Oryza sativa Japonica Group: one gene and its partners. The protein of the gene in region 1 interacts with the protein of each later gene in a pairwise test. Links are inferred from orthologs where the notes say so. Each region holds a gene or a part of one and is shown on either strand. Other genes may lie near its edges.

Region 1 (10,698 bases):
GTCCATATATTTTATTATAAAATTATCTTAAAATATATTTTGGGGTTGAAATTTTTAGCATTAACGTTATCTTTGAGTTATAATGTCCAAACTTTGTGATTGAATTGATATAAAACCTGTAGATATCCTTTTGTAATAATCCACCTTATATTTGTACTTATGTGATAAATTTAGTGTTATAAATTTGTAGTTTGTGATACATCATATTAAATTTGTAGTTTTGTGATGATTTAACTAAAGTACCTGTAGTATTATGAAATTTACTCAAAATCTTAATACAAAGATACATACAACTTATACATATTCTCCAAAATCAGTTAACCCGGTGAAAATAACCAAATCATCACGTTATGCTAATAATTCGATACAATGAAATAACCTGCGTTTTTTCTTCTTCTCAAACATACCCCTCCTTAAAAAAATATATTCTAGCAACGAACCTACATGTATGTATCCAGAATCGTAGCCAGAGTTAGCTATCACTGTAACCACGCATGAAAGGCGCAACAATAGACTTTCAACGAGACAAATAGCTGGTTAGCACGGTACATGAGACACACCACCACACCCATGAGATGACGAGCCCATGACGTGTAAAACGAAACGGACAACAACAGAAAAGAAGCAGATAATTCCCAATTGCCGTGCACCACCGGAGCCTCGACGGCGGCGGCGGCGCGCGCCGGCGTGGTGGGGCGGGCGGTCATGAGGTGCACGCCCATCACGTTGGCCCCCACATCTAAATCCCCGCACGCCTTTTCTCGTGTCGCCTACTCGCCCCCCCCCCCCACTTTGTTTTCGGAGGGTTAACACATGCATTAGGTGCTAATAAATCATCATCCAGTATAAGAGCAAGTTTAATAGCATAGCCCAATACTTAGTTCCAATTCACTTATAACTAATCTAATAGCCAGTTCATATAATATTTGCTTACTATATTATTAAGAGCACCCGCAATGGTAAAGTAAGTTGCTCTCTATAAAACATGTACATCTCAGTAATAGACTAGATTAATAGTAAACCACCTCAATAGTATGTCTACATGGGTATCTATAGCTCTCTCTTCTATTGCCTCGTTTTTCTCTACAGACTATCTCCATGTTAGTAGATAGCTTTACTCTCTCTCTTTATTTAATTTATTCCAAGTAGAAAAATATGCTGACATAGATCTCTTTTAGAGAGCCTATAGATAACCATTACGGGTGCCCTAATATATGGTCTCACATATCATATACATATTGCGTTTTAGAGTCCATGCTGTAGCTGGCTACAAATCTGTAGCCCGCAGCTTTTCTCTCTTATCTTTTATCTTATTAAAATATGTTTATAGCGCTGATAGTCTGCTATTGTAGCTGCTCTAATCACCCGGGGTGGGGGCCAGCCGCGTCATGGCGCACCCACGAACCTACCCGCCTGAGTCACGCCTACATGGCCCCCACCACCCCGCCCCCTCGTTGGCCCCACACGTCAGCCTCCCGTGGCGGACACGGCACGAGTGAGGGAAGGGCAGAGTCATTAGCATTAGCGCCGGGGATAGGGGGGTGCCCTGAAAACGTGTCACGTTTTTCCTTAAATAGAGTTCACGTTTCCCACCACCTCGTCACGCCACGCGCACACGCGCCCGATGGGCCCCCCAGCTCACCCGGCGACCCTACCCCGCCTCCGCGTGACTGCGAGGTGGGGCCCACCTAACCGTGGTCCCCTCACGTCAGCGTCGCGTGCGATCTGGGGGTGGACGGGGACGTGGTGCAGCACAAACGGGGGGCTCCTCCTCCTCGGGCGGGGGCGCACGGGTCACGTGGCGTCACGAGCCCCCCCTGAGTCGCCTTCCCGATCCCCCAGCGACACGCGCCGCGCACGTGCTCGCTCACGCGGAGGAGGAGGGGGGCCAGAGCCGAGGCTTCCCCGGCTGACGGCTGGAGCCGATCTGAGCTGAGCCGAGCCGGTGTGGGTTCACGTGAAGGCGGAGACGAGAGGGGTCGACTTGCGTAGCGGCCAGGATCTTCTGCGGTGATCAGGCAAAGGGAAAAAAAAGAAAGAAAAAGGAGGTGTATTTGTTTTAAGTGAAACCGAAAGAGCATATAGCCGTAGTTTGGTGATGTGTATACAGATGTAAAGTTAGAAGTTTAGTGTCGGCTGGAGCAAAGCCGTGAAGGTAAGAGAGAAGCGTATATGAGCATATGAGATTTTTTGTACGCTACCAACCACATTATGCTACTACTAGAAGATATGCTTTTCATACAGGGCAAATGTATTTTTTTTATAAAAAATTTTCTAACCACAACCGTCAGCCATGTCACATGTGATGTTTTATTATAAAGCTACTAATTCCTAGATTAATATTTTGGTAGTTCATCTAAAACTTGTCGAACAGGTGCCGATGAATTTTGAACACATATGTTGTGGATTATTTTTGTGATATTAGGTATTGTTTGATATTGACGACGCATATTTCTGCCTCTTACCATGAGTCGGTCGGCCTAGGTAACCGTCCCTAGTGGCCGGGTCTTGGCTTTGACACTAACACAACTAATGTTTTCGTTTCCTATACACATATAGTTTTTTAAGAACAAAATCTTGCTATTAACAGTTACCTTCCATGTGCATGAAGATTTGTGCCCCTTCTCACCTTCGTCGAGTTACCAAAATTTGGTTCCATGATAGTACCACGCCCAACTTCACTAGCAACCCTCGCCACCACCCCCTAGAGGCAGGGGAGGTTGAGGTGACGAGCACAAACGACTTAAACATGTGTAACAAGGGCATAACAATCTTATTGTCGCTAGTCTCCTATGAAAAGTATGAGGGCTAGAGAGAGGATTGGCAGTAACGAAGGAAGCCGATAGGACTCGTCGGTATATATGGTGGAGTTTGAAGGCATCGCACGAAATAGGGGAGGCAATGAAGGAAGAAGGGGGAAGCGGCAAGAGGGAGTATTATGGTTAGTCTGGGTCGACAAGCGATGCTTTATACAGTGAAGTGTCAAGATCCAAACCACTCAGCAGAGATCATGCTAGTGGAGGGGAAATACTTGATTCAAGTTTTTATCTTAGGTGTAGCACAAGACCCCCAACGTGTGTAAATCTTATTCGTCAAGGTATTGAGATTTCATTACACTATAGAATTATTGTAGGTTCCTTGATTAAATCCTTAGAGCAACACTAAGAGACTCACTAGATGGCTCTCCAAGCTAAATTTTAGCAAATATCAAAAAATCAACCTCCAAAATACTTGCCAACCAGTTGGCCAAATGCCTCCCTTTGATGTTCAAAATTGCCAGCCATAATCAATGGCCATTCATGGGTCCCATGCTGATCCTCTCTTTCTCTCTCCTTTATCACCTTTGCGAGAAGACGTGACTCACACGCACTTCCTCTAGCTCGCCTTGTCCCAGCGCCACCGTTGTTGTAGTCCATCATCATCGCTAACTCAAGCGCCACATCCCCCGGGCACCTAGTGCCACCTTACCCACCCTCCCCTAGCCCAAGTATGCCTTGCTCCAAACTACTACATCGTCATCTTCCGTCATCGTCCATTATCACCACCGACTTAAGGCGATGCCTCTCCTAGCCTCCTAGTGTGGCCTTCTTTCATAGTTTCCCACCCGTTGTTAAGAAGGACGGAGCGAGGTCAATAGGGCCGATGACGTCCTCCAAATCCCAAGCTCTACATCCCCGTCTCCTCCTTTGCAAGGCTGTCTATGTAGACGATGTCTTCTCATTGGTGATAGAAGGCTAGAAGTAGTCATTGGAGAGGGTAGATCGAGAAATGGCATGGAGGAGAACTAGGCAGAGGGGAAGTATGCGAGAGAGACTAACATGTGGGTCCCACTATCATAGTGGAAACTATAGATGGAGAGCTTGTTGGAGCACACATAAAATATGGAGAATTGAAGAGGGATCTTTTTGGCTAGCTAGCCAGCCAAATGGGCAAACAAAGAGCACAATTTGAAAAGAGAGTTTAGAGTTGTTCCTATAAATGCATTTCTCTCCAAGTTTACAATTGAGGGGGAAGAAACTCTAGTTTGGCTTGCTTATTCTACCTTTACAACCATGATTCAATTGCATCTTAATCAGATTTAATCTTAATAGCTAAAATTACTTGCATTGCTCAATCCTATTAATGTGTTAATTCATCTTTGTCCCTGCCCAAATAAATGTCACGAATGCCACATCCGTCGTGGTAAAAGAAAGCAATATGTCCCAAACAAATGTATACCAAAATGGCTTGGAGCGAGTTTCCCCCTTCCCCCAAAGCCCCAAACCGCTATTGAATGGCTTAGGCATACTATATCCGCCACATTGCCATATCCGGGAAAGTCCAAAAATATCTTACGAAGTACAAAATCTTTCTTATATCCATTAGTGCCAACCGAGCAAGAGGGTGGGGAAGGGCATAAGACCCCATGGTTTTGAAATTTAATAAATATCACAAATTCTACTTCCATTGGTGAAAGTAAGCAAGAGGTAAGCTATGGCTTGTAGCGAGCCGGTCCTCTATGCTCTATGAAGTGGTTTGGGTTATTAGGTATCCTACATCCATCAACACTTATAAACATAGGGAAGTTTAAATACAACCTTTTTATACACATTAGTGCCTAAGGGGAGGAAGAACTGAAGAAGGTAGACATGGATACGAAAACCCCTGGTTTTGAAATTTCATAAACTAAATTTATTTAAAACATTGTCATTTACCCACCAGTAAATTTTACAATTTCTAGCTCCTTCAATATTAACATAAGATTGAAGAATCCATCTAATTAGGATACAAATATTAATAAACCAAAGTCATTCTAGTAAAAAAAACTACATTATAAATCACTTATCTCCTCTTGTGGCTTAACCTGATTAACAAATAGACCAATCCCTCCTCAACCTCCGTCTCCTCGAATGATCAAAGAGCACGTGGCCACTATATGAGCAAACCAATTGTCCTGAGCTGACAAGAGTCCAAGGCTTGAATTGAGCTAGTTTCTCCACCCCCACGAGCCACGGATCCATCGGCTCAGGTTCCAGTCCCACCGGGGGTAGAGAAAGCAAGGCACCCTCTTCGTCCTCCTCTCACACCTTCCCTCTTCACACATCACGCGTTGTCTCCTCCTCCCCTTCCCCTTCCTCAAAATCTCCTCAACACGCCGCCTTAGCCTCAGCCCCAGCTCCTCAGCCCTGCGCATGCTTCGATCTTGGTGAATTCAGGGAGCTCGTGAGGTTACAATTAAGGGGAATAAACACTAGTTTGGCTTGCTCATTCAACACTTTGCAGCAGGGTCCAATTGCATCTAAATTATCTGCAGTGGTCAATTCTACTCATTAATTCATTTATGTCCCTGCCTGAATGAATATCACAAATACCATATCCATCGGTGAAAGAAAACATGCGGACCCAAACAAATATAAACAATGGCTTGAAGCGAGCCGGCTCTCCCATACGCCACAAAGCGGCTCGATATCCTATATCTGCAACATCGCTACTTTTAGGAATGTTCGTAAATATCTTATACATGCTAGTGCCAATGGGAGTATGATGGTGTGTTGGAATAGGGGAACCAGCCCCATGATTTTGAAATTCAACAGACTAAATTTGTTGAAACTCATGAGATATAAATGTTACCATTTCTAGCTCCTCAATTATTAACAAGCGAATAAAGAATCCATTAATAATAATAATAATAACCATATTATAAATCAATTATCCCCTATTTTAACTTAACCCGATTAACAAATCAACCCATATGCTTCCCACTCTCCATCGACTCGACTTGAATGCTCGTAGAGCACGCAACCACACTGTGTATGAACAAACCACCAGCGCGCAAAGCCGAGAAGAGCCCATGGGTCGGCGATCGAGCCGGCTCCCCCGCCCCTAACGAGCCGCGGACCGGCTCGGCTCGGCTCGGCTCGGGATCCAATCCCACCGGTGTAGAAAAGGCAAAGGCACCCTCGTTCTCCTTTCACACCTCTCCCCCCCTCTTCTTCTCTCTCTCCACATCACAAGTCGCCTTCCTCCTCCGCCCCCGAAATCCCCTCGCGAACCAGAGAAACCTGAGGCACCACCATCACCACCACCGCCTCCGCCTCCGCCTCCGCCTCCTGCGCGCGCGGCGAATTCGGGGGACCCTCGCGCTCGCGTGGGGTGTGGGTGGGGGGAGATCCGGGCGTCGCCGTCGCCGGGGGGGGGGGAGGGTGCTCGGATTCAGCCAGCGGCGGGTGGGGGGGCCCGCCTCTTTCTTCTTGGGGGGGCGCGGAGGAGACCCCGCCCGTCCTGGATTCCGTGGCCGCGGCGCCGATTCGGGCGCGGGAGCCCCAGCACGGTGAGATTTTCCCCCGCTGCCTTGCTGCACTGTGAGAATTGCCGTATCTATACTGTACTAGTTTGTTGTTGTTGTTGTTGTTGATGATGTGGCTGCTCGCTGTTGCGGAAACAGTGGAATGGATGGGGGTTTGGGATGGTTGGGGTTTGACGAGCTGGGCGGGTTGAGGCGGGAGGAGGGTTTGCTTAGGGTGGAATCTGATTGGCCGCGATCGGCACGGGTGTTTTGGCTGTATCCTATAGCGTGAAAAAGATAGGAAAATTACTGGTTGTATCACTTTTTGCTGGGTCAGGTTTGGATAGAATTCAATCGTGTTTTCCCTCCATGTCTTTTATCCGTTGAAATGGTGCCATATGAAATGTCAGGATTAGTTATAAATTCTGGTTGCACACTTTGTGGACGATTTCTGTTATTTGAGTGGGTTATTTAGCGATTATGTGTCCGCGAATATAATCTGTACTGACGTAAGAGCAGTGAATTTTTTTTATCACTCATCACAGTGTGTTTTTAGCTGGATGATAACTGAGAGTTTTGTTCCTGTTATTCTGAGTTCAGCACCCGATTATTCATAAGTCCAAATGATATTTTGTTGCTTGTGTATTTGTCTAAAACTGTGCTTGTGGCGTCCAGCCAGTCAATTCTTGTGAGTATTACGCATTTTTAGTGCTATATTTGGCCTGATATATATACTATCTTGAGTAGGTATTATGGTGATGAAGATGGAGGCTGATGAGGATGGTGCCAATGGCGGAACTGGTGGGACATGGACTGACGAGGACCGAGCGCTCACCGCCAGTGTGCTTGGAACGGATGCTTTTGCTTACTTGACAAAAGGAGGTGGTGCCATATCCGAGGGCCTTGTTGCTGCATCTTTGCCAGTGGACTTGCAAAATAGACTCCAGGAGCTTGTCGAATCAGATCGTCCTGGTGCTGGTTGGAACTATGCCATATTCTGGCAGCTGTCGCGCACAAAGTCCGGTGACCTTGTCCTTGGATGGGGGGATGGCTCTTGCCGTGAGCCTCATGATGGTGAGATGGGACCTGCTGCTTCTGCAGGTAGTGACGAGGCCAAACAGAGGATGCGCAAGCGTGTGCTGCAGCGATTGCACTCAGCATTCGGAGGTGTTGACGAGGAGGATTATGCCCCAGGCATTGATCAGGTGACAGACACAGAGATGTTTTTTCTAGCATCTATGTACTTTGCATTTCCACGCCGTGCTGGTGGCCCTGGTCAAGTATTTGCAGCAGGCGTGCCCCTGTGGATTCCCAACACTGAACGTAACGTATTTCCTGCCAATTACTGTTACCGGGGATACCTTGCAAATGCTGCAGGATTTAGAACTATTGTGCTAGTTCCATTTGAGACCGGTGTACTTGAACTGGGTTCGATGCAACAGGTAGCGGAGAGTTCTGACACTCTCCAGACCATAAGATCTGTGTTTGCTGGGGCAATTGGCAATAAAGCTGGAGTTCAGAGACACGAGGGGAGTGGCCCTACAGATAAGTCACCAGGTTTGGCAAAGATTTTTGGGAAGGACCTTAACCTTGGCCGGCCTTCAGCAGGCCCAGGAACTGGCGTGTCAGAGGCAGATGAAAGGTCGTGGGAACAAAGGACTGGTGGTGGGAGCTCATTGCTCCCCAATGTCCAAAGAGGTTTGCAGAATTTCACTTGGAGTCAGGCTCGGGGCCTGAATTCTCATCAGCAGAAGTTTGGCAACGGTATATTGATTGTGAGCAATGAAGCCACACCGCGCAACAATGGAGGAGTTGACAGCTCTACTGCAACACAGTTTCAGCTTCAGAAAGCACCACCACTTCAGAAACTACCACAGCTCCAGAAATCACATCAGCTAGTAAAGCCACAGCAACTAGTGAGTCAGCAACAGTTGCAGCCTCAAGCTCCCAGGCAAATAGATTTCAGTGCTGGGACCAGTTCCAAACCTGGTGTTTTGACTAAAAAACCAGCTGGTATTGATGGGGATGGTGCAGAGGTGGATGGCTTGTGTAAAGACGAAGGTCCGCCACCTGCATTAGAAGACCGGCGGCCTAGAAAGAGGGGAAGAAAGCCTGCAAACGGGAGGGAAGAGCCACTAAATCATGTTGAGGCCGAGCGCCAGAGGAGGGAGAAGCTCAACCAGCGATTCTATGCACTGAGAGCCGTTGTACCCAATATATCAAAAATGGACAAGGCATCCCTCCTTGGTGACGCCATAACATACATCACTGACCTACAGAAGAAGCTCAAAGAGATGGAGGTAGAGCGAGAAAGGCTTATCGAGTCTGGAATGATCGATCCGAGGGATCGGACGCCTCGACCTGAGGTGGACATTCAGGTGGTTCAGGATGAGGTTCTAGTCCGAGTGATGAGCCCCATGGAAAGCCACCCTGTCAGGGCCATCTTCCAAGCTTTCGAAGAGGCAGAAGTCCATGCAGGGGAGTCGAAGATCACAAGCAACAACGGCACGGCCGTGCATTCTTTCATCATCAAGTGCCCTGGCGCCGAACAGCAAACGAGGGAGAAGGTGATTGCCGCCATGTCTCGCGTGATGAACTCAGGGTAGAATCAGTTGGGGAGTGGGCGCCACCGGTAGAGGCAGCTTTACTTCGTTCGCTGGTTGCAGACAAGCAGCAAGCAGTCGGTTGGACGGACACCCATCCACCCACCTTTCAGCGCTGTTGATAGAAGAAGTTTGTAGGCAGAGAAAGAAAGCTCAGATTCTGACTTAGCGATCCAAGGGGAAGACAAAGCTCTCAAGTTAAAACTGCCATTGTTGTATGGTAGGCTTTTGTGGTCGGTGTAGTTTTTCTCTTTTTGTTGTTTATTGGGGAGAATACCATGTTCTTAGTTTATTGCTTGTGGCAGAACCATAAACAGTACATCTCGTCAAATGCATGAGTTGGGAAAGAAGTCACCTGCTTTTCTGCTAATTCTGTGTTTTTGTTTGTATCTCAAGTGAGTTGGTGTTTATACTTCGGCATGTTACTCGGGGAAGCTGGGCTACATGGGCCAGTAGGCACATCTGTGATCTGTGTTCTTTCAATCTAGTGACCTTTTGGGGAGGTGACTCTCATCCATTTCCATATCAGGTTTTTGTCGGTTCTTATTTTCTTAGTGTGTGTGAGAGGAATGAAAACGAGAAAATTGAAAAGACACGTAAGAGGTGAGATATTAGTCATTATTAATTAAGTATTAATTATTTTAAATTTTAAACATATATTAACATGATTTTTAAGTAGTTTTATAGTTTTTTTTAAAGAGATAATCCATAAAATGCCATTGACAAGCGTCTAAGTCCCAGAAATACCATCGACAAGTGTGAGTTCCAAGAAATGCCATCGTACAAACGATTTTATCCCAAAAATGCTATCGCCGTTAGGGTTCCGTTCATTTCACGCCGTTAAGTTCTATAGGATGAACAGTGTGTTTAACGGCACGGAATGGACGGAATCCTAACGGCGATAGCATTTTTGGGACAAAATCGTTTGTACGATGGCATTTCTTGGAACTCACATTTGTCAATGGCATTTCTAGGACTTAGACGCTTGTCAATGGCATTTCATGGATTATCTCTTTTTTAAATACACTGTTGATCAGTTTGGAAAGCGGTATATGCAATAAATGAGGGAGTTTTTTTTCCTTTTAACGTGGGCGAGATATCAATAGAAACTGTCTACGTAACATAGCACAAGAAACAGATATAATTGAGTAATGCTCCTATTAAATTTAACTCTGGACCATGTTTTTAGAAAGCCATTTTGCACACTTTTATTGATATGAAAACACAGAACGTTCAGTAAAATAAGGGGCTCATCAATACAAGAACTCTTCAAATCAAATTAGATGTATGTTTAGATAGAACATGTGCCAAAAAATTTGGCTTCCCGGCGAAGCGCTCAACAGAGACTTGCAAAATCACGTCAAAATATTGCATTCATATAAATTTGTTGACGAAAAGCCGCATTGTTTCCACCACTTGGAAGTGTGGCTGCGTTCTTTCAAGGGAGAGATAGGGAAGATTGTGACTCGTTTTCCACGCGCATGCTTTTCAAATTACTCCCTCCGTCCCAGTATGTAACAAGTTTTAAGCTCGTGGACAAGTATTAAATTTTAAACTGGTAGGCGGCAAAAGCACATACGGCAATACAAACTAGTACTCTATTCTTTTCTTCTCTTTCACTGATAACTATGCTGAGGGGTAGAATTGGTAGATTTCTGGTAAAAGTTGTACTAGGTTGTAACATTTGGGACAAATTTTGAATGCCAAAACTTGTTACATATTGGGACGGAGGGAGTACTAAACAGTGTGTTTTCTGCAAAAAATTTCTATAAGAAAGTTGTTTTAAAATATCATATTGATCCATTTTTAAAATTTAAAATAGTTAATACT
Region 2 (10,698 bases), on another chromosome or scaffold:
CTTGCAAAAATAGACATTATATATCATTGTACTTGTATTTGGTAGTTTGGCTGCACAAAACATATATACTTAGATGCCTACAGTTTGTCCCTAACCGATCCTACAATTTAACGTATGACTTCAGTTAGTAATGATACCTTAACTTGTAATACATATATTAATACTCCAAATGATTTTAAATGAAAAGATCATCAACTTGCAAGCTCATTGAGATATACAACTTTGATATATATGGCATCATCTGACGTCTTTTTCTAAGAAAAAATGTAGATCTTACAAGTTGAAATGTATTTTCTGACATGTAGACAATATCAATTGAAAAGTTGTTAACAAAGTTGTAGATCATGCCATTGAGATCTGCAATTTTCATATAGACCATATATCCATCAAAGTCATTAAAATTTCGAAAAATTAGTTTGTAAAATAGATCTGATAACTTTGTAATGCATAATCTAGCATGTAAGCAATATTAATTAAAAACATTGTCAACTATAAAATTATTATAGATCGTGTCGAGATCAGTACAACTTTGATACATAACATGTCTCCATCATTTTTGAAAATTTATTTTTAAATATATTTGAAACATGTACTGCATATTAAGAGACACGTGTGAATGGGAGTAACCTTTTTTTTTTTTTGAAAACTATGGGAGTAACCATTGACGCAGGTATATATATGTGCCTCTCGTATGTGGTAGGTATCCCATACACTTGTTATGAAACTCCATAATATTGTGTGTGCCACTTATTAATGATTATGTGGTAGTGTGTATATTTAAAACTAGGTGATTCCCTACACCTTGCTGCGAAAATTACTAAGCAATTTTTCCGACAATCAAGCTAGAGGGAAAAAAATAATAAAACATCAAGATTTACCAGTACTTATCATGAAACAAACAAATAATACTCGTGTTTTAATGTGAAACATATTGATAAGTATATGTTAAATATTATAAAAGTGATAGATAAAATTGTTAAAATATTGTGCAAATAATGTGAGGGATGATGATTGGATATACTTGCATGTTGATTTGTAGAATTAAATAAATTGTAGATGATGTTGTATGCTTGCATGGGTTAAATATGTAATTATTGCTAGTGGATGATGATGTGGCATGATTGCGTGTTGAGCTTTAAACTTAATGGGCTATAACTTTATAGAAAGTATAGATATGCAACCAACACATTTGTCATATTTACTAAATCAATAATAATATCCCATGCAACGCCCTCGCTAACCATCAACTTGTGTGATCACTTAGTAGGAGACCACTCTAATTAAGATACTATCTCTTTTCAAATTATAATTATGTCAATTTGACTTTGGTCAAAGTCAAATAACTTTAAGTTTAATTAAATTTATAAAAAATATAGTAATATTTGCAACATTAAATTTGGAACCGGTAACTCAACACATTTTCATAATATATTTGTCTTCGGTTGAAAATGTTACTATTTTTTTCTATAAATTTAGTTAAACTTAAAGTAGTCTAACTTTAATCAAAGTTAAAATACTTTATAATTTAACACAGGAGATACATAGTAGGAGTATATTCAATGGATTAATTAATATTTCTTCTTAACTGAGCGAGATCAGCATGGGCCACCTCCAACCTCCCCTGAAAACACATGATATACGGTTTTGGTACAATGAGAAGTGGTTGGTACCCGAATCACCTTTTGCTTGTCCAGTTTTGCCTACTCGATCCCCTCTCATATGCAATTTTTAGCACGCGAAGACAAAGTGTGTGTTTGGACTAGCAGCAGACGAGAGAAAATTAAAGCGTACGTGCCAGTTGTGTTGGTCGACCATGCGTATCATCGATCGGGTCGTTTTCTCGTGGCTCTGCTGTCTGAGATCTCTCATGCATACACATCCGATCGATATATCCATGCTCTCACGTTCCGACCTTATCTCACCTCACGATTAGTGGGGCGAAGCCATAATTTATACTAGCTGAAACCCTAACCCCGCGCATTGTAGCGGGATATTTTCTTGAGATTGGTGGCTGCATTTGGTAAATTGAAGTGGTACAAAAATCCATCACTATTGAATTGGTCCACGATAAAATTAGATGGGCCTCCCGTGGTGACGGTGTGAGATGGATTCGGCTGTGTTTTTTTCATCCAACGGTTCAAAGATGATCGAATCTACTGATCCAACAACTGAGAATTAATGATGATGTGACACATTGAGGTTTGAGCTTTAGGATCTTAATTGCACTTAGTGGGTTATAATTTTATAGTAAGAAGGGATAAGAGTAGAGGTAAACTAGTATATGTTTTTGTTTTTCTCTAAAAAAAATTTGAAGAGTAATCTCGATGGATATTTGAGCGTAGGAGTAGGGCTAGAGATAGTGGTATTTGAACCTACTGAAGATGATGAAGATAAAGATAAGTGTTTCACGTAAAATGATGTGGTAATAACGTGTGATTAATTGAGTTTTAATTATTACAAACTTAAAAAATAGATTAATCTAATATTTTAAAGCAACTTCCATATGAAAAGTTTTCGCACGAAACACACAGTTTAGCAGTTTGAAAAGCGTGTCACAAGTATCCAAAATTTCATCAACTTCTATATCTGCATATGTGTGATGTCACCCTCGGTTGTCCACCCATGCATATGATGCTTGATTGTCGATTGCATGCACGCAAGGGAGCTACCATATCTGATCGCAGCATGTCCAGCGACAAGTTAGAGTTTATTTACTCAATCTAATCTTAATTTCTTAATCTAAATATAATCACCTTAATTTCTTATGCGGAAATAAATTGATTCATTGACCTTGATGTGAAGCCATTTAAGCCGATGATCTAATCCTTTTATTTTTCTTCTTCTTCTCTTTTCTTTTTCTTCTTGCGACATACATCACGAATCCTTTCCAGTGATAAAATTGATCGGGCGATTGAATTAGGGCTTTAGGGTAGAGAGGATTCGGTGAAGTCGCCTTTGCCTCTTCTCCTCTTCCTAGACATAAGGACATTAGTGGGGTCCGGGGGTTTATTTCCAAATAAATTTAAATCTATTTTGTACGATCACACATAACAGATTTTATCTCTACTTTATTTCTTGTTAGGAAAATAAAACCGATGGAATTTAATTCTTTTCCTAACTAACCAATAATGAATTGATAAAATCAACCAACATGGCCATCAGGACGAATCAATTGACCAAATCCTAATAGCCTTCCCTGAGTCGCTTCAGTTCTAGTGATTGATCCTCAACACTATTGGGCAACCTTATTTCCTGGTTACGACGAGTTTTTCAATAGTTTGGAGGTGTGGCCGTAGAAATTAAATCAACAAGCATCGACACCATTATTGTTTTGATAGCATGGTCGATTTGTAATTAAAGAACACAATAATATATAGGAGTCTTCAATCACTAATAATGCTTTTGTCCAAAGTGGTGACTGGTGAGCACGACAGTTTAAGCTGTTTGGGTGGGAGGGCCTTTCACAGAAATATAAGTCCCTCCATTAGTTTCTCTAAAAAGAACATAAGTTTCTCTAGAAGGACATGTATTCCTATCCCTCCATAGGGATTTATATTTCCGTAAGAGGACTAATAGAGCATAAGAGCTAGGCTGCACGGGGGTCCTCAGCTACCCGCGGCTAGCTAGCACACATAATGGTTGATAGTCGGTCGCAAATCAATACCACAAGACATAGGCCTTGTATCCCTTTTCGATTCTTTTCTTTATTATTGTAACTTGTTGTACAACTTATACATATATTCTCTAAAATATTTGTTGTTAAATGGCTAAATAACCGAATGATTTATGATAATTAAACTGAGTGGGCAAACAAACGAATAAATATATTATATTTTTTATCTATCTATACCTAATTAAAAAATCTATAAAGCTTCCGGTAATACTTTTTTGTCCGTCTTTTTTTCTCTTTTCTTGGCTGTTTTTTCTATCTTTTTTTTTCTTTTCTTGCTGTTTTTATTTTCTGATCCTTTTTTGTCCGTATTTTTCTCCTCTTTATTTTTTTCTAGTTTTTCCCGCAGCAGTTTTTCTGCCGCCGCCTCGATCTATCTTCTTGTACCTTTTGTCCTCTTATTGATTGTAAAAATAGATCCCTACTCATTTCTTATTATTTTAATTTCCTTATGATTTTCCCTTACAATTTGGCTTTAATTCACCGGATCTAATCTCCAGCCGCCGCCTGGGCTGAACCCTAACTGCGCCATCACATCGATCTACCTCCCCTTACGTTTTCTCCTTTAATTAATTGCAAAAATTGATTCCCCATCCTTCCCTCATAGTTTCCCCCATGATTTTCCCTTTCAATTCGGTTTTAATTAATTCGTTGGATTCAATCTTCGTTTAACTGTCACCAATAATGACCGACCGACGAGCTTCCCCATTCCATTTTTATCCAGAGTTTTACAGATTTGCTCTGTTTTTGGGAAACAGAAAGAGGAGATCGAGTGAATCAAAATCCCTTGGCCAGGGAGATCAAAAAAGAATCAGCTGGATTTTTATGGGAGGGCACACAAGGATTCTCTCCCGAAGGTTCAAGACGGTATACTGAATGACATTGCCAGCTGTGATAACTAAGTATTTGTGGACTGGACGAAAGAGAGGCAAGCCGAGCAGGAAGAGATAGGAGACATCAGACTGTGCTAGGGCTAAAAAGGAAAAAAAAGTAATGAGCTTTCGGCTCAAAACGAAGAAAAAATTTTGATTAACATGTTTTCAATTATAGTGTATAGCAATTATAATGTTTCAAGCTATTGCTCAGTTCATAATAGAGTTGTTATACCACTAAGAAAAATGTATTTACCTGTTGCAACGTATTGATATTTTTTTCAAGTTAATCATAAAAATACATTAGCGTTTGTAAGCTTTCTAAAAACGTGCGGGTTAATCCATCGTTTTCATTGGTTAGAAAAAACGAATGGGCGCGGGGCCTCTTTTTTTTATACCCCGCGCGCACCTCCCAACCCAACAAACACCACATTTTGCAGCTGCTTCTAATCTATACGTGTTCTAGCTAAGCTAGCTAGCTAGCTCTCGTTCTCCGGCCATGTCGACGAGGGCGCCCGTCGAGCTCGACTTCCTCGGCCTCCGCGCCGCCGCCGCCGACGCCGACGACCGCCACGCCAAGAGCGGCGGCTCCTCCGCCTCCTCTTCCTCCTCCATCCGAGGTACGTGACGTGACGTCTGTCGACGTCGCCGTCGATCGATGATCTCATCTCACCGCCGCCGGCTAGCTCCGTGTCCCTCTCGATCGATCTGAGTCGATTGCTTGCGTTGCGAGAGCAGGGATGGAGACGAGCGCGATAGCGAGGATAGGGCCCCACCTGCTGCGCCGCGTCATCGCCGCCGCCGGACCTCCGCCACCGCCGTCGACGGCGCCGGTGCCGGAGGAGATGCCCGGCGCCGCCGCCGCCGCCGCTCCGATGACGCTCTTCTACAACGGTTCAGTCGCCGTCTTCGACGTCTCCCACGATAAGGTGTGTAATATACATGAGTAAATTATATTGGTAGTATATAAACTTGTTAGCTGGATGCAACTTAGTGAATAAACTTGTAAAATGCTTATTTCGATGCATGAACTTGTCTAGTTCGTGCGAACGAGGACTAAAATAGCTTGGCAATGTTCGTTTTATAAAGCTGATGTTGATTAGGATGTGACGTGCATATGTGTAGTGAGTATATATAAGATATGCAATATTTATAAATTTCGTCTCTACTTTATTCTTCATCATGGAAGTGATGAATTTCATATATTTCTAACCCTTATATCATTGCTTTTTTTAATCTTTTTTCTACAATCACTATATCCATTCTATTTTTTACTAAAGAGGTGTATTTCTAATAGCAAATCTTCACGTATATATGTTTACATGGTATCCTAATGAGCCCCTAAATTAATAAGATTAACCAGGTAGTGTCCTTTTTCCTTCCTCCGCACGCACCAGACAAGTTTATGCACCAAAACGAGCATTTTACAAGTTCGTGCACTAGATTGCACTCACCTGACAAGTTCATGTACCGGCGATGCAATTTACTTAATATATATTTATCGTCTAAGTTAATTAATCACAAATTATTAGGAGATTATCCGCGATTAGTTAGTTGTTAACACAGTAATATTATATTAATACTGTCGTCGGAGATAGAACGGCCAGCGAACCGGGGCACCTGTTGAACACTTGTACCTTCACCTTCACAGAACGCGTGTGATTACAAAACTAACGAAACTCGGCGCGTTACTGCTGCGAGAATTATGTATAAAAATATTATAAATAATACCCCTTTTGTTTTTTATTATATGTGATATGCTGTTGACTTTTCATTGATCATTCATCTTATTAAAAAAATTTATGTAATTATCATTTATTTTATTCTGATTTGATATATCATCAAATATTCTTTAAACATGATTTAAATATTTTTTATATTTACATAAAAATTTTGAATAAAACGAATGGTCAAATATTTGTAAAAATTCAATGGCGTCATATATTAAAAAATATTAAAAAATGGAAGTAGTATGTAAGATAGCTGGATGATTATTTACTTTATATAATTTTCATCTTTGATTGATCAATAAAAAATTATAAACAATTAAGATGATATGGTTTATAACAATTTAAAACATTCAAAAAAAATGAAACTAAGGTGATGTGACTTAATAGCAAAACAAAATAAAGGGGGATAATATAGATTAATTACCCAAAGACAAAACTACGATGATATGACCTTTCCTAGGAGAAGAAAAGTCTGTCCATTAAAAATCATACAGCGTTAACATAGAATTAATTTACAATCAAAATCATGGTGTAGGATCGAACTGCACCAAGTCTAAATTAAAAGAGTTCTTGTTTTTCATGCATGATGGCTGGAAGGGATGCGCACAATGATATACTATCTCCCTTAAATTAGCTTGATAGTGGTAGATAGTACAATTTCATAGAGATACAATCTTCTCAATGCTTTCCCTTTCCATATTCCATCCCTAGGCAGAGGCTATAATGAGGATGGCAACCGAGGCAACTAAAGCAAAAGGACTCGCTCGTGGCAATGCAATTGTAGGCAATTTTGCCAAAGGTTTGTTAATGTTAGTAGAATTGTTGCGAAAAGTAATCAGCAGAACAACAAAAATATGTTCTTTTTTAATCTGTTTTTTTTCCTGTGGCTTATAGTATTGTTCTTCAACTCTTCTTGTTTGCAGAGCCACTCACAAGAACTAAATCTCTGCAACGATTCCTCTCCAAGAGAAAAGAGAGGTATAGACAATGCAATTTTCATATATTTTGTTTGTCACCTAAATACACATTTTTTCCTACTCCCTGCGTTTCAAATTAATTATTATTCTAGTTTTATCATAAGTTAAGCATTTGTATTTTTTACCACCAATTTCCAGAAGTTTATATAATTTAACATCATAAGATTTATGTTTTGTATTCACTATGAGAAAACTTTCACAATATATAATCACATGTTTTTGCATTATTCAAATTTTTAGATATCAACGAACAAAATAGAAATATTTGACTTAGGACAAAATGAATGTGAAGTAATTAATTTGAAAAGAAAAGGAGTATGTATAAGTACATAGAAATAATGATTTGATCAAACCTTTTCAAAAAGAACTCAATTACACTTAAATAAAAGAGTATTAACATTTTCATTATTTCTCTCTCTAATTGGAATCTTCAGTGTGAGACTAGCTATCTACCTATAGTTGTATACTGTGGAAGCTCATGGTAGCTAAAGCTACCACATGGTGAGCTGACCGGAGACCCCAGAAGCCGTGTGGGCCCGGATGAGCAGTGCCCATCGACCTCTTACAACCACGTTTTAGTCGTGACGAATTAGTGCATGGAAAGTCTATGGGCTATGGATCATATCGACATGTGTGTGGAGGATAGCAAGTTTGCATATGCAATATCTCGATCGATTTGGTGATGATATATATATCGCAATGAAATCGATATATGGGGGCTGTACTACTTCATTGACCAACTAGCTACCGAATCAAATTAAGACTTATCGCAGCTAAAGAAGCAATAAACTAACTGAAAGCAAAGATATGTCTTTGACCACACCACACGCACATATCATTAAGGCTTTGATTTGATTGTGCTTTAAAAGATCGGTTTGGTTCTGGTTGTGTGTTGGCTAAGGTGGTGTTTGGATACAGGACTTAACTTTAGTCTCTATATCTAGACACTAATTTAAAGTATTAAATATAGACTACTTATAAAACTAATTACATAAATGAAAGCTAATTTGCGAGACAAGTTTTTTAAGCCTAATTAATCCATAATTAGAAAATATTTACGGTAGCATCACATAGACTAATCATGGATTAATTAGGCTCAATAGATTCGTCTCGTGAATTAGTCCAAGATTATAGATGGGTTTTATTAATAGTCTACATTTAATATTTATAATTAGTGTCCAAATATCCGATGTAATAGGAACTTAAAAGTTTTAGTCCCATCTAAACATGGTCTAATTCGTTTGTCCCAGACTTGAAAAATGTGGCACTGATTTCTCTTCCTTTCAAATATATATATATATATATATATATATATATATATATATATATATATATATATATATATATATATATATATATATATATATATATATATATATATATATATATATATATATATATATATATATATATATATATATATATATATATATATATATATATATATATATATATATAACCATTAACTTTTAAACATAACATTTAACCATTCTTTTTATTAAAAAAATTAGTGTAAATACGATGAAAAATAGGTAGCCTTTAAATTATCTTCAACAACAAAATTAAGCCGCAACAAAATAATATGATACCTATACAGCATTTTAAATAATACAAATGATCGATCCAAAAGGGATCGAATAAGTGATACTTAGATAGTTTTTCAAATAAGACACATGATCAATTCGAAAGTTAACATCATCATATATTTAAAAATTTAAAAATTGAAGTTAGCCAAACAAACAGGTGTAGTAGGGTAGTGTAGTAAATTGTTGGCTAATTACCATCCTGCTCAACGACGTTGCCAGTGTCACTTTCCATCCTTTTGGGGTAGCTAGGTGTTGACCTAGTTAATACTCCAATAATCACCACCAAACCTAGCTACTTTGTTACCCACTTTAACTAACGAATATATATATATATTTTGCATTGCCTTTTTCTTTTCTTTTTTTTCATTACTAATTGATATTGAAACGTGCAGGTTGACCAGCTTGGGTCCGTACCAGGTGGGTGGGCCCGCTGCCGTCGGTGCGACGACGTCGACCACCACCAAGTCTTTTCTTGCGAAGGAAGAGGAGCACACGGCGTCCTAGCTAGCCTCCTAGCTAGCTAATTACTGTTGATTTGGTCCCCTTGATTAATCGTTTATTATTAATAATTATTTCATTGATTCCATCATTAGTAGAGGGTACAGACCAGGCAGGGGCCAGTTAATAATCCTGTTTAGTGTTGATCGATCGATAGATTAACCATACTCCATATGTAGGTCTGTGTGTAATATTGATTTATATATATAGTAGTATCTATAGTTGATTACAAGGTCATGGATTTTATGGATGTGTAAAGCAAGCTTAGAGTGAATATTGGATGCATTTATGATTTATACTATGTAGTTGTACAAATTACTCCATCCATGTGCCTGAGTTATTTTGTTTTTTTAGACTGAACATGTGCTGGGAACGAACACCCATATTATTTCGCTTATGATATGCTTATCTGTAAGGTTTATTAGTAAATAAAAATAATTCATGAGTATTCAAAAGTAAATTAACTCTAAAATTAAAATTTAAAATTCAAATTAACTCTAAAATTAAATTTTAAAATTCAAATTTTGACTTAGATAAGCATAAGCAAAACAATAAGGCTGGAAAATTTATGGTCATTATATCAGACTCTCCACTCTCATTAATGGTAGATACAACATTAGATTTTCGAAATGTTTTTGAAATACAAATAATCAGAGGATGTTTGGTAACAACGTGGAGTATCAGGTGAAACAATGTGCACTAATCTTATGGATCACGGCTATGAATTCAACTCCGTTCTATAGTGCCGATGGATGACGGATAAAAAGTTGAGTTTATAACAATTACTCGAGGACAGAAACGGTGATAGTCGACTTTTAAAAGAAGTTCACTTAAAAAAACATGTTGATGAAGAAAGTTTTTATAAAAAGATTATACCACTTTGGAGTTTGAGGAAATATGCTTACGATAATCCTTCAAGTAGTCGACCTCAACCTTACCATTACAATTAGAAGTATTCCAAGCTAACCTTTGACTGCAAGCGTCCAATTAAACCTCACAAATTTGCAAACACGTTTTTCTTTTTTTGGGTGTGTGTGGTTGTTGCTGTGGCTGATGCAGTCAAATTGTGAAACGATTGGAGCAGAGAACATCCAAAAGAAAAAAAAGAGCTTGTGGACAAATCTTCAAGTCGACCAAAAACACAGCTAGGAGAAGTTGGGCAATTTTTCTCGTCCTTTTGCTCACTAATCACTATCGCGTGAGCAGTCAGCCTCACGATCAAATTTGAAAACGTGGTAAAAATCCACTAATTAATCCAGGTTGCTTGGGTTGGTTTTGTTGGACGAGTCTTGGTTTGAGGCAAGCTGCCTTGCAAAAGTAGAAAAAAAGGGGTCAAAAGGGAGCAAAAGAGAGAACTGAAATGGG
Region 3 (10,698 bases), on another chromosome or scaffold:
GTAGATCCCTCGCTACCTTCTCTTCTAATTTTTGAACGAATCACTGCCTTCTCTCTTCAAGAGCCCTAGATGGCTAGATCCTCAAATTCCCGCATCCTTTCCTCCAAATCGGGAGCAAAACTATTCAAAATTGGGCCCAGACTCTAGTGAAATAGGAGGAGATCGATGGCAAAGGAGGAATGGTGGCTTGGGTGGTAACGGCAGACGCAGAGGCGGGGAGCTGCTTCGGCGGCAGCAGCATGTGGTAGTGGTAGCAGCAGCAGCAACACAGGGCACTGTGGTAGGGAGCAACAGCACAACTTGCGGCGGTAGCAGCAGCAGCGCTTGTGGCAGCAAGGGCAGTAGCAAGAGCAGCAACCACGCCGCAGAGTAGACAGCACAGCAACAGCGGGATATAGGGGTATCCACATCCTAATTTTCGTGAAAGCTCATCTTCTAACAGTGTTAGTTTAAGCTGGGAGTTTAATGGTAAGTGTTTTGGGTTTCAACGTCCGAAATATGCAATTGTGTTTTTTAAGACGGCAAATCTATAATATCGGGTCCACATCGATTCGTGCTAAGTCTAGAATGCACCCACGTCATCCCCGCGTGGGCAGCTCGGGCGACCGAACCCTAACCGCCGCTGCCCAAACCTCCCCCTCGCCTTGCTGCCACTAGAGGGAGCCACTGAGAACCAGGCAATGACCTAGGACGGCAGCGGCGGGGCTTAAAACCAGGTCCCGCGCGCTGGATCTGATGCGGCAGTGAGGACAGCAGAGCGGCGGCTGTCGGGGAGGGCGGCAGTCAAGGAGGCGCGGCGACGGGGAGTCGACAACCCCTCTTCTGCATAGGAGCCTAGGCCAGCGCGACGAGGAGGCGACAAGTCGGAAGGTAGCCGACGGCGGTACGGATCTGGCCGTGGCTGCAGTGTGCAAGGATGGAGGTCGTCGTGGCCATGGCGTGCCCAGGGGTCTCTTTCAGTGGCCGACCATGGCGGGGGCAGCTCGCAGCGGCGCTACTAGTGTCCCTAGGCCCATGGGATCATTTGTAATACATGGAAAGGGGTAGTAGTCAAGGAAGCCTATCTCGTATCTGTACATGAATGGTATGCACCCGGATTATAAGGGATACCATATCACACATGCCGCCAAATCCCCCCAGCACTATATAAGGGGCGCCGACATGAACCATAAGGGGTTACGCTTTCTTTCACACACATCGGACACAGATCTAATCCACATACAACTGGACTAGGGTATTACCTTGCATTGAGAGCCTAAACTAGTATAAACATCTGTGCCACCATCTCTCCTTGATTTAGAGCACCCTATAAATTATATTGTCGTTCATAAAAATCGATAGATTCCCATAAAAAGATTTAGGGGATTGAATTTTGACACTCTGCTGGTGATGCTTTTATGCACAACATCAATAGATGTATTATGGTTACAAGTGGTTTTAAAAAACAACGGCAACCATATGGTTAAAATACCTTAAAAGTTTTATAAGGCAGGTCATTCGCATAGAGAAAATGTACTCAAGCTCCCATAATATTATTCTTTTTTTATATATAGAAAAAAAGGTACTCCTTCGCAAGGGTATGAACATATGAGTTGAGCCAACAACGAGGATGAAACCATGCCTTCGTAACGGTGCGCGTACCTTGTAGAGGGCACGGTAGCCTCACTCTACCATAGGGACCGCGAAGAGAAATGAGAACCCATCCCCACAGCCATGCACATGACTCGGCACCAGGACACCATTACAATGATGCAAAGAAGGAGTTGGTGGCTGACATAAAGAGGGAAATGCTGGCGTCAAGCTTGGACTGCTCCGACGAGATCTGAGAACCTCAAGGCCAGATCCGATGGCATGTGATGGAGACGGCAACGGGGGCAGCAACCAGAGCGGAGGAGGAAGTGGTGATGGCGAGTTCACAGTGATGAGGATGGCTAGCTTGAAGCACCAATGAGGACTGGGAGATCGAAGTGGAGATTTGGATGGCGAGCTTGAAGCACCGAAGCCAAAGAAGGTGGGAGCCTCCTTGACTGGCGCTCGTCGATCCCGGAGCTCGGTGGTAGAGAAAGAAGGGGTGCCCTTGACTGCCGACGTAGCCTCGTTGACTTGTCCAAAGTGGTGGAAGGAGAAGGGATTAGGAGCAGCAGCTTCCACCACCAATGAAAACATCAGCTTGCCGCCTCGATTTGTGTTATCACTGAGGAGAGGGAGGACATGGGAGGAAAGGGCAACGAGAAGGGAGCAACGATGAGGAGGGAGGGAATGTGGTAGATAGGAGAGGATGACGAGCTTAGAGAGAGGAAAAAAGAGTATGAGAGTGGTTGACAACGTGGTCCATAGGAAGCCAAGGATACATATATATTTTTTATGTTGTCATAGGTCAGAAATATAAATTTTTTTAATATATTTGATAATAAGAAATATTCTTAGGGACTTAAACATAAAAACATCTGAGTTGGCCTGAGTCCACATGGGACGTTGAGGATACTAATGTAAATAGCTTTGCGTCGTGTATGTCTCTATAAGACGGTGATGTATACAAATCATATGCTCTCTCTAGAGTAGCAAACAAGTACTACTTATATACCATTTCTTCCGTGTTAAAATATAGTTATATAATAATATAGATTTTGATAAAGTTTTGTCCAGATTCATAGTATTATGCAATAATATAGCCCTTTGGATCTATTTAAATTCGTAATATAAGGATATGATGTGTCTAAGGGTGTCTTTGGTTTCTAGCTATACTTTGCCGCCATTTGTCAACACATATTACCACACTTGCCTAAGTTGAGACGATCAAATTCTTGGCCACACCTTAGCAGGCCTAAGGGAATCTTGCCACACTTTTTTGAGTCAAAGACGTGTGGAGTCCAATTTGTTGGAAAAGAATCTTGACACAATTGTGCCTACAACCAAACAATTGCCAATATGGTCCAGCCCGGCTAACATTGGGCGTAACAAACTATGGCAAAGTGTTGCTGGTAACCAAACACCCCCCTCCCCCTCCCTAAATTGTACTCCCTCCATCCTAATATAAGTGCAATCTAGTATATGACATATTCTAATAATACGAATTTAGACAGCCCTTTCGTCCTAATATGAGTGCAACCTAGTACAAATATGACATATATTAGGATTACGAATCTGTGCAGACAATTGTTCAGATTCGTAGTATTAGGATATACCATATATGTACTAGGTTGCACTTATATTGGGTCGGAGAGAGTAAGTGCTAGTATTCCATTCATTTCATAATATAAGGCACAACTATTTTTTAGATGTTTCATAATATAAGGCATGCATGAATGCATGCCATTAACTAGCACATCTTTCGCACTATGATTTTTTTTTAAATCCTCCATCCTCAAAATCTTTAATCCTAGAGAGAATCTATTCTATACAATTGAGTTTGTTCGAGTTCAACGATTTACCATCGACATTGTCGATTTATATTATATACCAACGACTTTATCAATCGTTCATCAATACGCCATTGGGATATGTCTTCTTTTCAAAAGTACCCAAATTCCTCTTATGGACATATAAGATTAACAATTGATTTATCTCATTAGGAGTTTAAAAAATATAAAAAATTTTATGTGACCTCCTTGCATAACATGGAAATTTGTATAGAAGTTTCGAGTTTTTATATTTCTATTTTTTAAAAAATATAACTTATCTATTATATGCTATATAAAATACTTTTTATTGTTGTTTTAATATAAATCATCTTTCATACAATGCATAAGATATTTTTATGATATTATCTCTTGCGTAAGCAAATTCTCTATCATATACCACATAAAAATATTTTTTCTAAAATCTAAATATACCATAAAAAAATTTCAAACTTGTATACAAACTTCCATATTGTGTAAGGAGGCCACTACAAAGTTTTCATATTTTTTTAAAACTTTAGATGAGATAAATCAATTGTTAATCTTGTATGTTCGTAAGGGTATTTTGGATATATTTGAAAAGAAGGCCCAACCCAATGACATATTGTAGAAGAATTGATAAAGTTACTGGTATATTATAAAAAGAGATAATGTCGATGGCAAATCGTTGAACTCGAACAAACTTAATGGTATAGAATATATTCTCTTTTAATTCTATTGGTGCATACATTATAGTTATTTGGATGATCTAAACTATGAGATGATAATAGAGTCTTATATTCTTATATTTTAGAATGGAGACAGTATCTTGAGATGAGGAAGGAAGTACTACTCCATCCAAAAGAACGAATTCATAGCTACGAACCTGAACACATATATATATCCAGATTGGTAGGTAGGATTGGTTTTTTCTGGTACGGAAGGTTATGCATTTTAGGACGAAGGGCCCCACTCCTTTGTCGGCCACGTTGCATCCAATCAAACCTAACGTCACGGCATACCACACCGGCACACAGTAAACACAAACCAGGAAAAAGATAACGAGAGAATAGGAATCTGCGCACCTTGCCAATCTCCACAACAATCACGTGCTCAAACAAAGGCACCAACACCCAAACTAACTTTTTTTTTTCCCTCGCAACTTGCGATTACAAAAATCGAAACTTTTTCGTCTTAAAGATAATCCCCACCATTATTGTTATTGTTAGTCTCGTGCGTCCCTTATATAGAACCTGAACCGCCGGACGGAGGAGGAAGACAACTCAGAGACAGACAAGGACGAGCAACCCGCAACCGCGACCAGAGGAGAAGACTCGATCGAATCGAATCGAAGCGGGAGGATTTCGGGGGTCCGTGACTCCGTTCGGAGAAAAGGATTCAGCTTGTGGGCAGAAGAAGAAGAAGAAGATGGCTTCCGCGAAATCCGGGGAGAGGGGGAGCAGCAGCTTCGCCATGGCCTGCAGCCTGCTCAGCCGCTACGTCAGGCAGAACGGCGCAGCCGCCGGCGAGCTCGGCCTCGGCATCAGAGGTCACCTCCCTTTCTTTTTCTTTTTTTCCTTCTGCAAAGTCTGGATCTTTATCTTTACGGGTTTTGGGTGAAAAAAACCTCCCCTAGGAAGGTTTCCGTGAGATCTGGTCTAGTTCTTCGAGCTTTGGAAGCGAGAATTCCCCCATGTAGAATTTTATTCGGCTTAAACCAGTCTCAACCATTCCAATTCTGCGCATCTAGCTAGCTGTAAAATTCGCAACATTTTTTTTAAATCTGATGTTGTGAATCTGGGCTGAAAAACTATGTCATATCATTTTTCAGGTGAAGCCGATGCGAACAAGGGGAAGGAGACCATGGAGCTGTTCCCCCAGAATTCCGGGTTCGGCTCTGAAGCTGCTGCCGTGAAGGAGACCCCGGATGCGAGGTACTCAACACAATCTTTGTTCGAATTGCTTCAGCTATCAGTTCATACGGTTCCTTTAGCTGTAGTCACATGATAGGAGAAACCAATAGCAACAATCCAACCAAACAAAGTAGTGGTTGGTAGGTAGTGTGGAGGAGGAGGAGAACATCTTGCCTTGTCCTGACCAGATCTTAGTGCTGCCAGGAGCTGAGCTGGTCAGCTCTCGGGTCATGGTCTGAAATCTAATTCGTGTGTAAAATGGATATAATTTAGTTTAGAGTTCTAGGGATGGATTTCGGTGTGATGGAAAGGTTCGATATTTAATCCAATATAGAACTGGTGCTATGCAAGTCTGCAGTTCCTTCTTCTGTTTTTTGTGCGAGTCGTTTTTTGTGCGAGTCAACGATGTATGTCTCGCAACTAATAACCACGGGTTTCAGACTTAGTGGGCTCGCACGATCCGAAAGTGAAAATGTTCTGACTCGAGTGATTCATGAACAAAAAACCCAAATATTAGTTGGTACTTACTACAAGTTATTCTTCTGAACATATGCGTAGATGGCGGGTGCTTGCTGACCGATATCAGTTAGTAAATAGTTTCTGTTGTGTAAGCTTTAAAATTGGTTAAATGGTTGTGTTTGTCTAAGCTTTCTTGTATTTCCGTTGTCAGGGAGCAAGAGAAGCGCCAATTAACCATCTTCTACGGTGGGAAGGTCCTGGTGTTTGATGACTTCCCAGCTGAGAAGGCCAAGGACCTGATGCAGATGGCCAGCAAGAGTTCCTCCACAGCGCAGAACTGTGTCCTTCTTCCATCTTCCGCTACTGCAACCGTTGCCGACAACACTAAGGTGTCTGCTGTACCAGCCCCAGCAAGTGCACTTCCTGTTGCTCAGGCCAATGCCCCGAAACCTGTTCGTCCAAATGCTGCTGGTAACTACTCTAACCTCGGCTGTTATTGCTTGCTCTGAATGATGGAATATACTTGTAGCATGTGAATCCATTTTATTGTACTAACTGTTCTTCAAATCCTGCAGATCTGCCTCAGGCTAGGAAGGCGTCGCTTCACCGGTTCCTCGAGAAAAGAAAGGATCGGTAGGTTATGCTTGCTATCATGGCAGCACAAAGTATAGTCAAATTCTACAATTCACAATTCTAGATTTTGGATCTAACTTTTGCTGCTCCTTTATTTCAGCCTTCAGGCTAAAGCACCCTACCAGGGTTCCCCTTCAGATGCTTCTCCGGTCAAGAAGGAGCTGCAGGAGAGTCAGCCATGGCTTGGGTTAGGACCTCAGGTTGCCGCTCCCGACCTGAGCTTGCGGCAGGAATCGAGCCAATGAATCAATGCTCAATTCTGAGATGCCCCTCTCATCAGATGATTCAGTCATAGAGGTTATCACAACTCTTGAATTGGGTGTTTTGTGTTAGGAGATGATCCGATGACAAGGCGATGTTCTTCTGATATATATACTAGGATTGAATGTAAAGAAAGTAGCTGATGATTATGACCAGTAATCTGAATCAAATTGCTATGATAGAAAGCAGAAGATTCTGTAATCAGTACAACCCAAGAAACCTCATTTGTACCAATTCAATATCGTTTTGCTTTGGCATTGCCATGTAGAAGCAAAGCAAATGTACTGCTAATATATACACATCACAAGATTGATTGTTATTCACTTACGCCTGTTTCCCCCCCCCCCCCCCATTAACAGGATGCATCTCCTTTTGCTGTTTCCAACATGCATTCTTGTATGAATTTTGAAGCTCTATTCAGAAACTAGAATGTTATTTGGACATGCTGAGTAGTACTAGTGTACCATGATTTGCAAGCCTTTGCTTGGCCTCAGAGGTTAGAAGACAGACAGCTCAGAGAGAGAGAGAGAGAGAGAGAGAGAGAGAATTGTGGCTCTTGGCTCTTGCACGACCTGAAAACTTGATGGAGACGAGGCACGCACACACACACACTTGTGCATACTCCGTCCAACACAGGAAGAAAACGTGTTTTGACTCAGAGGCAGCATCTGCCACTTGCACAAATGAATAGAGAAAAAAAAAAGATAAAGATAAAGATAAAAGAAAAGGAGAAGAAAGTGATGTATAACGCGGCAACGGCAGGGCGTCCGGGGAACACGCAAAAATGCGCACGTCGCTCTCCGGCTACATTCAGCAGCAGCCCATGGTCGGAATTTTTTAAAAATTATTTTTTTGGGATGAAATGACTCTCCATTTTTTTTTCTCCAAGGGAAAAGAGAAAAAAAAATAAAATCATTTTGGTGACATTGAAGAAAAACTGCATGTTCTGCGCATTTTAAAACCGGGACCAAACCGGGTTCTGCCGGACAAACAGTGGACGATCCACGTACATTAGAGTAAAGCTCACGTTCGGAAATGAAGAATAGTAGTATTTTAACATGGCTCTTGCCTGAGACTACGGTTGCCTGAGACTACGGGTGTGTTTAGTTAACGCCAAAATTAAAAAGTTTGGTTGAAATTGGAACGATCTGACGGAAAAGTTAAAAGTTTGTATGTGTAGGAAAGTCTTGATGTGATGAAAAAGTTGAAAGTTTGAAGAAAAATTTTGAAACTAAAATCGGTCTACAGATGCATGGTGGCCGGCAGGAAAGCAGTTTGTCATCCAATATAATGCGAGCCCATTTGCTCGTGCCCACTTCCAGCAACTTTATTCATTTCGCGTAACGTGCATGACCACTCTGCCAATTGCCATGCCAGCCTATGATAATTCATGGGTCAATTGCATATTTGCCACTGGATTGAACAGGTATTGTGGATCTACCACTAAAAAAACTGTAATTGCAAATTTGCCATTAAAAACAGTTTGAACCCAACATAACTGCCACTGGACTCACAGCTTAGACTAACACCGTTATATGGCTGGTTTTCATGAAAATTAGGACAAGAATGCCCCTGCCCATGAAATTGTAATATTGACAGCATTTTGGCATCAATAAAACACCATTTGAGACAACAAGCAAGAGAACATAGTCAACTAGCGTCATTCTGGCATGAACACGGTAACATAATCAAACTAAATGACAATAGTTGAGGTTCACATCATATGATTCATCCTCACATCCAAAAGACAACTACATCTGACTAATTCAACCAACACAGTTAGAGGTTTACATCATATGATTCATCCTCACATCCAAAAGACAACTACATCTGATAGTAGTGTTCTACATCATATCAATTTGATAGGACAACATGGTCCAGACCATTAGAACCTTCCCAAAAGACAACCGCATCAAATGGATGCCGCAACAGAACCTTTCTTCTCCTTCCCCTTCCCTCTTGCTCTTGGTGGTCTTGTTGACACATCATTTGCATTGCCACTGCAACAACAATTCTATAAGTCAGTACCTAAATCTGAATACAAGATGCAAATAGATTGCAAATGAGGATGGAATTAACTAGTAAGAAATACTAATTACATGGATGATCCAGTAGTATTTTTTTTGTTTGACCTAGGTGTTGCACCAGGAGTATTGCTTCCTTGATCTGAGGATGGTGTTGATGAAGATGACCTTTTCCTGTATAAAATCTGGAGTGAGCAGCCAATTTACAAATGAAAGGAAAAAAAAAAGATGACAAGTACCTTTTGCTAGCTATAGGTCCTCCCTGACATGTCTTTGCAAAGTGGCCTTTGTCACCACATTCAGGGCATGTCCTCTTCTTTCTACAGCCAGACTCATCTGAAGCTTTAATCCTGTGTGTCCTAGGCCTTCCAGGCTTTCTCCTCAACTTTGGCCTCATCAATTTGAAACCAGGATCTACAAATGTCCACATATTCTTTGATGTCATTGGGTTCCATATCCCAGCATATGTTTGCCTCAATCTTTGCACTGAATAGCACTCATCCACATAGCCATTCATGTCAGGAAACCTTAGAGAGCCTATGAATGCCAATGCATGGTTACAAGGTTTCCCACTTACTTGCCAGGCTCTACAAGAGCATGTATGAGCCTTTAGGTTCACTGCATGCCTCCATACCACTCCCTTATTGGACACCACAGAAACTTCAGCTAAATCATCGCAATTACTCCTTACCACATTGTAATCTTTTAGATTCTTGCTCTGTTCATTCAGTGTCTTAATAATAGATGGAATTATTCTTCCTTCCATTTTGCTTGCAAGTTGGCTCCTCAAGTGAAATTTGTCAATTATCATTTGCCTAAGTGTGTCAAATAAGTCCACTATGTGTAATTCCTTGATCTTCATCACCCAATTGTTGAATGACTCAGAAAGATTGTTGTTGATGTAGTCCACCTTTGAAAGCTCTGAGAATTTGCTCCTACTCCAAAAAAATGGGTGATTGGTTTTTAAATATGCAATAGCTTCAGGAGATTTCTCAGCAATCTTGTTCATGTGATAGTTGTACTGCTGGCTGGTGTAGCACTTAGCAGCAGGCCACATGTTTTCACCAAAAAGTGGTCCATGGTACTGCTTCTTGAAGTTCTTCCACAGGTGTCGCATGCACTCTCGGTGCTCAGCAGTTGGATAGACATCACTAACAGCTCTCTCTAGTCCTTTCCCAGCATCTGTGCTGATGGCTAGCCCAGGAGGATTACCAATAGCATTCTTCAAGTTCTGCACGAACCATGTCCAACTCTCCGTTGTCTCAGCTTCTATCACACCAAATGCAACAGGAAAAAGCCAGTTGTTTCCATCTATTGCAACAGCAGCTGCCAGCTGTCCTCTATGCTTCCCTGTCAAGTGTGTTGAGTCCATTGCAATATATGGCCTACAACCTTGTAGGAAGCCATCAATGCAAGGTTTCAGAGCTATGAACAGCCGCCTGAAGCATACTTGGTCTTCATGAATCTCGGTATCAATATCGACAATACTTCCAGGTTGTGCCTTCAAAAGCTCCTCTCTAAAAGTGGGCAGCAATGCAAAGCTGTCTTCCCACTTCCCAAATATCTTCTCAAGGGCCTTCTCTTTGCCTCTAAAAACTTTGTCATATCCTATTGTAAATTTGTACTTCTTCTCTAGCTTGACCTTCAATGCACTAGCTCCTAGAGTTGGAGTCTCCTTCAGCCAATCTATAACTCTTTCAGCAACCCAGCTATTTGTTGCCATGGCAGCCCCAGTCTTATTTATGGAACAACAATTGTGGGCAGGCCTATTTACCTTGACCTGCACATATAACAATGTAATTATCAGCTTTTTATGCATCAAATTTAACCATGAAATGATAAAATAATTAACTGAACATTTCAGCACAAATTTACCTTGCAGCCATAGTATTTCTTACTTGTAGAGGCATGAAACCTCCATTTACAACCCTGCTCTTTTTTCTTGCAAAAAGCTCTGAATCTATGCTTGTCCTTTTTCTCAGTTTCAAAAGAATAGTCATAGATTATAGCATGGTGTGTAACAGCTTCCTT

Evidence for each region.
Region 2: the proteins of transcription factor MTB1 (region 1) and protein TIFY 9 interact in binary tests that used the Arabidopsis thaliana proteins (3 or more experiments, as listed by UniProt). The link is inferred for Oryza sativa Japonica Group from reciprocal best matches to the Arabidopsis thaliana genes AT1G01260 and JAZ10.
Region 3: the proteins of transcription factor MTB1 (region 1) and protein TIFY 10a interact in binary tests that used the Arabidopsis thaliana proteins (3 or more experiments, as listed by UniProt). The link is inferred for Oryza sativa Japonica Group from reciprocal best matches to the Arabidopsis thaliana genes AT1G01260 and TIFY10B.

What each region holds. Positions count from the first base shown.
Region 1 is NC_089035.1:7,504,747-7,515,444, reverse strand, and holds transcription factor MTB1, read left to right. Parts: upstream 1-5,984; 5' UTR 5,985-6,310; intron 6,311-7,012; 5' UTR 7,013-7,017; coding exon 7,018-8,871; 3' UTR 8,872-9,238; downstream 9,239-10,698.
Region 2 is NC_089038.1:19,855,239-19,865,936, forward strand, and holds protein TIFY 9, read left to right. Parts: upstream 1-4,995; 5' UTR 4,996-5,041; coding exon 5,042-5,162; intron 5,163-5,280; coding exon 5,281-5,471; intron 5,472-6,983; coding exon 6,984-7,071; intron 7,072-7,195; coding exon 7,196-7,250; intron 7,251-9,227; coding exon 9,228-9,339; 3' UTR 9,340-9,645; downstream 9,646-10,698. UniProt on the Arabidopsis thaliana protein: Repressor of jasmonate (JA) responses. Interacts with and suppresses RHD6 and RSL1 transcription factor activities to negatively regulate jasmonate-stimulated root hair development.
Region 3 is NC_089037.1:16,850,200-16,860,897, reverse strand, and holds protein TIFY 10a, read left to right. Parts: upstream 1-4,579; 5' UTR 4,580-4,805; coding exon 4,806-4,926; intron 4,927-5,208; coding exon 5,209-5,311; intron 5,312-5,960; coding exon 5,961-6,220; intron 6,221-6,324; coding exon 6,325-6,382; intron 6,383-6,482; coding exon 6,483-6,627; 3' UTR 6,628-6,990; downstream 6,991-10,698. Other genes in the region: uncharacterized protein, read right to left, coding at 8,556-8,643, 8,743-8,841, 8,907-10,390. UniProt on the Arabidopsis thaliana protein: Repressor of jasmonate responses. Jasmonoyl-isoleucine (JA-Ile) specifically promotes COI1-TIFY10B/JAZ2 interaction. Activated by MYC2, MYC3 and MYC4 transcription factors.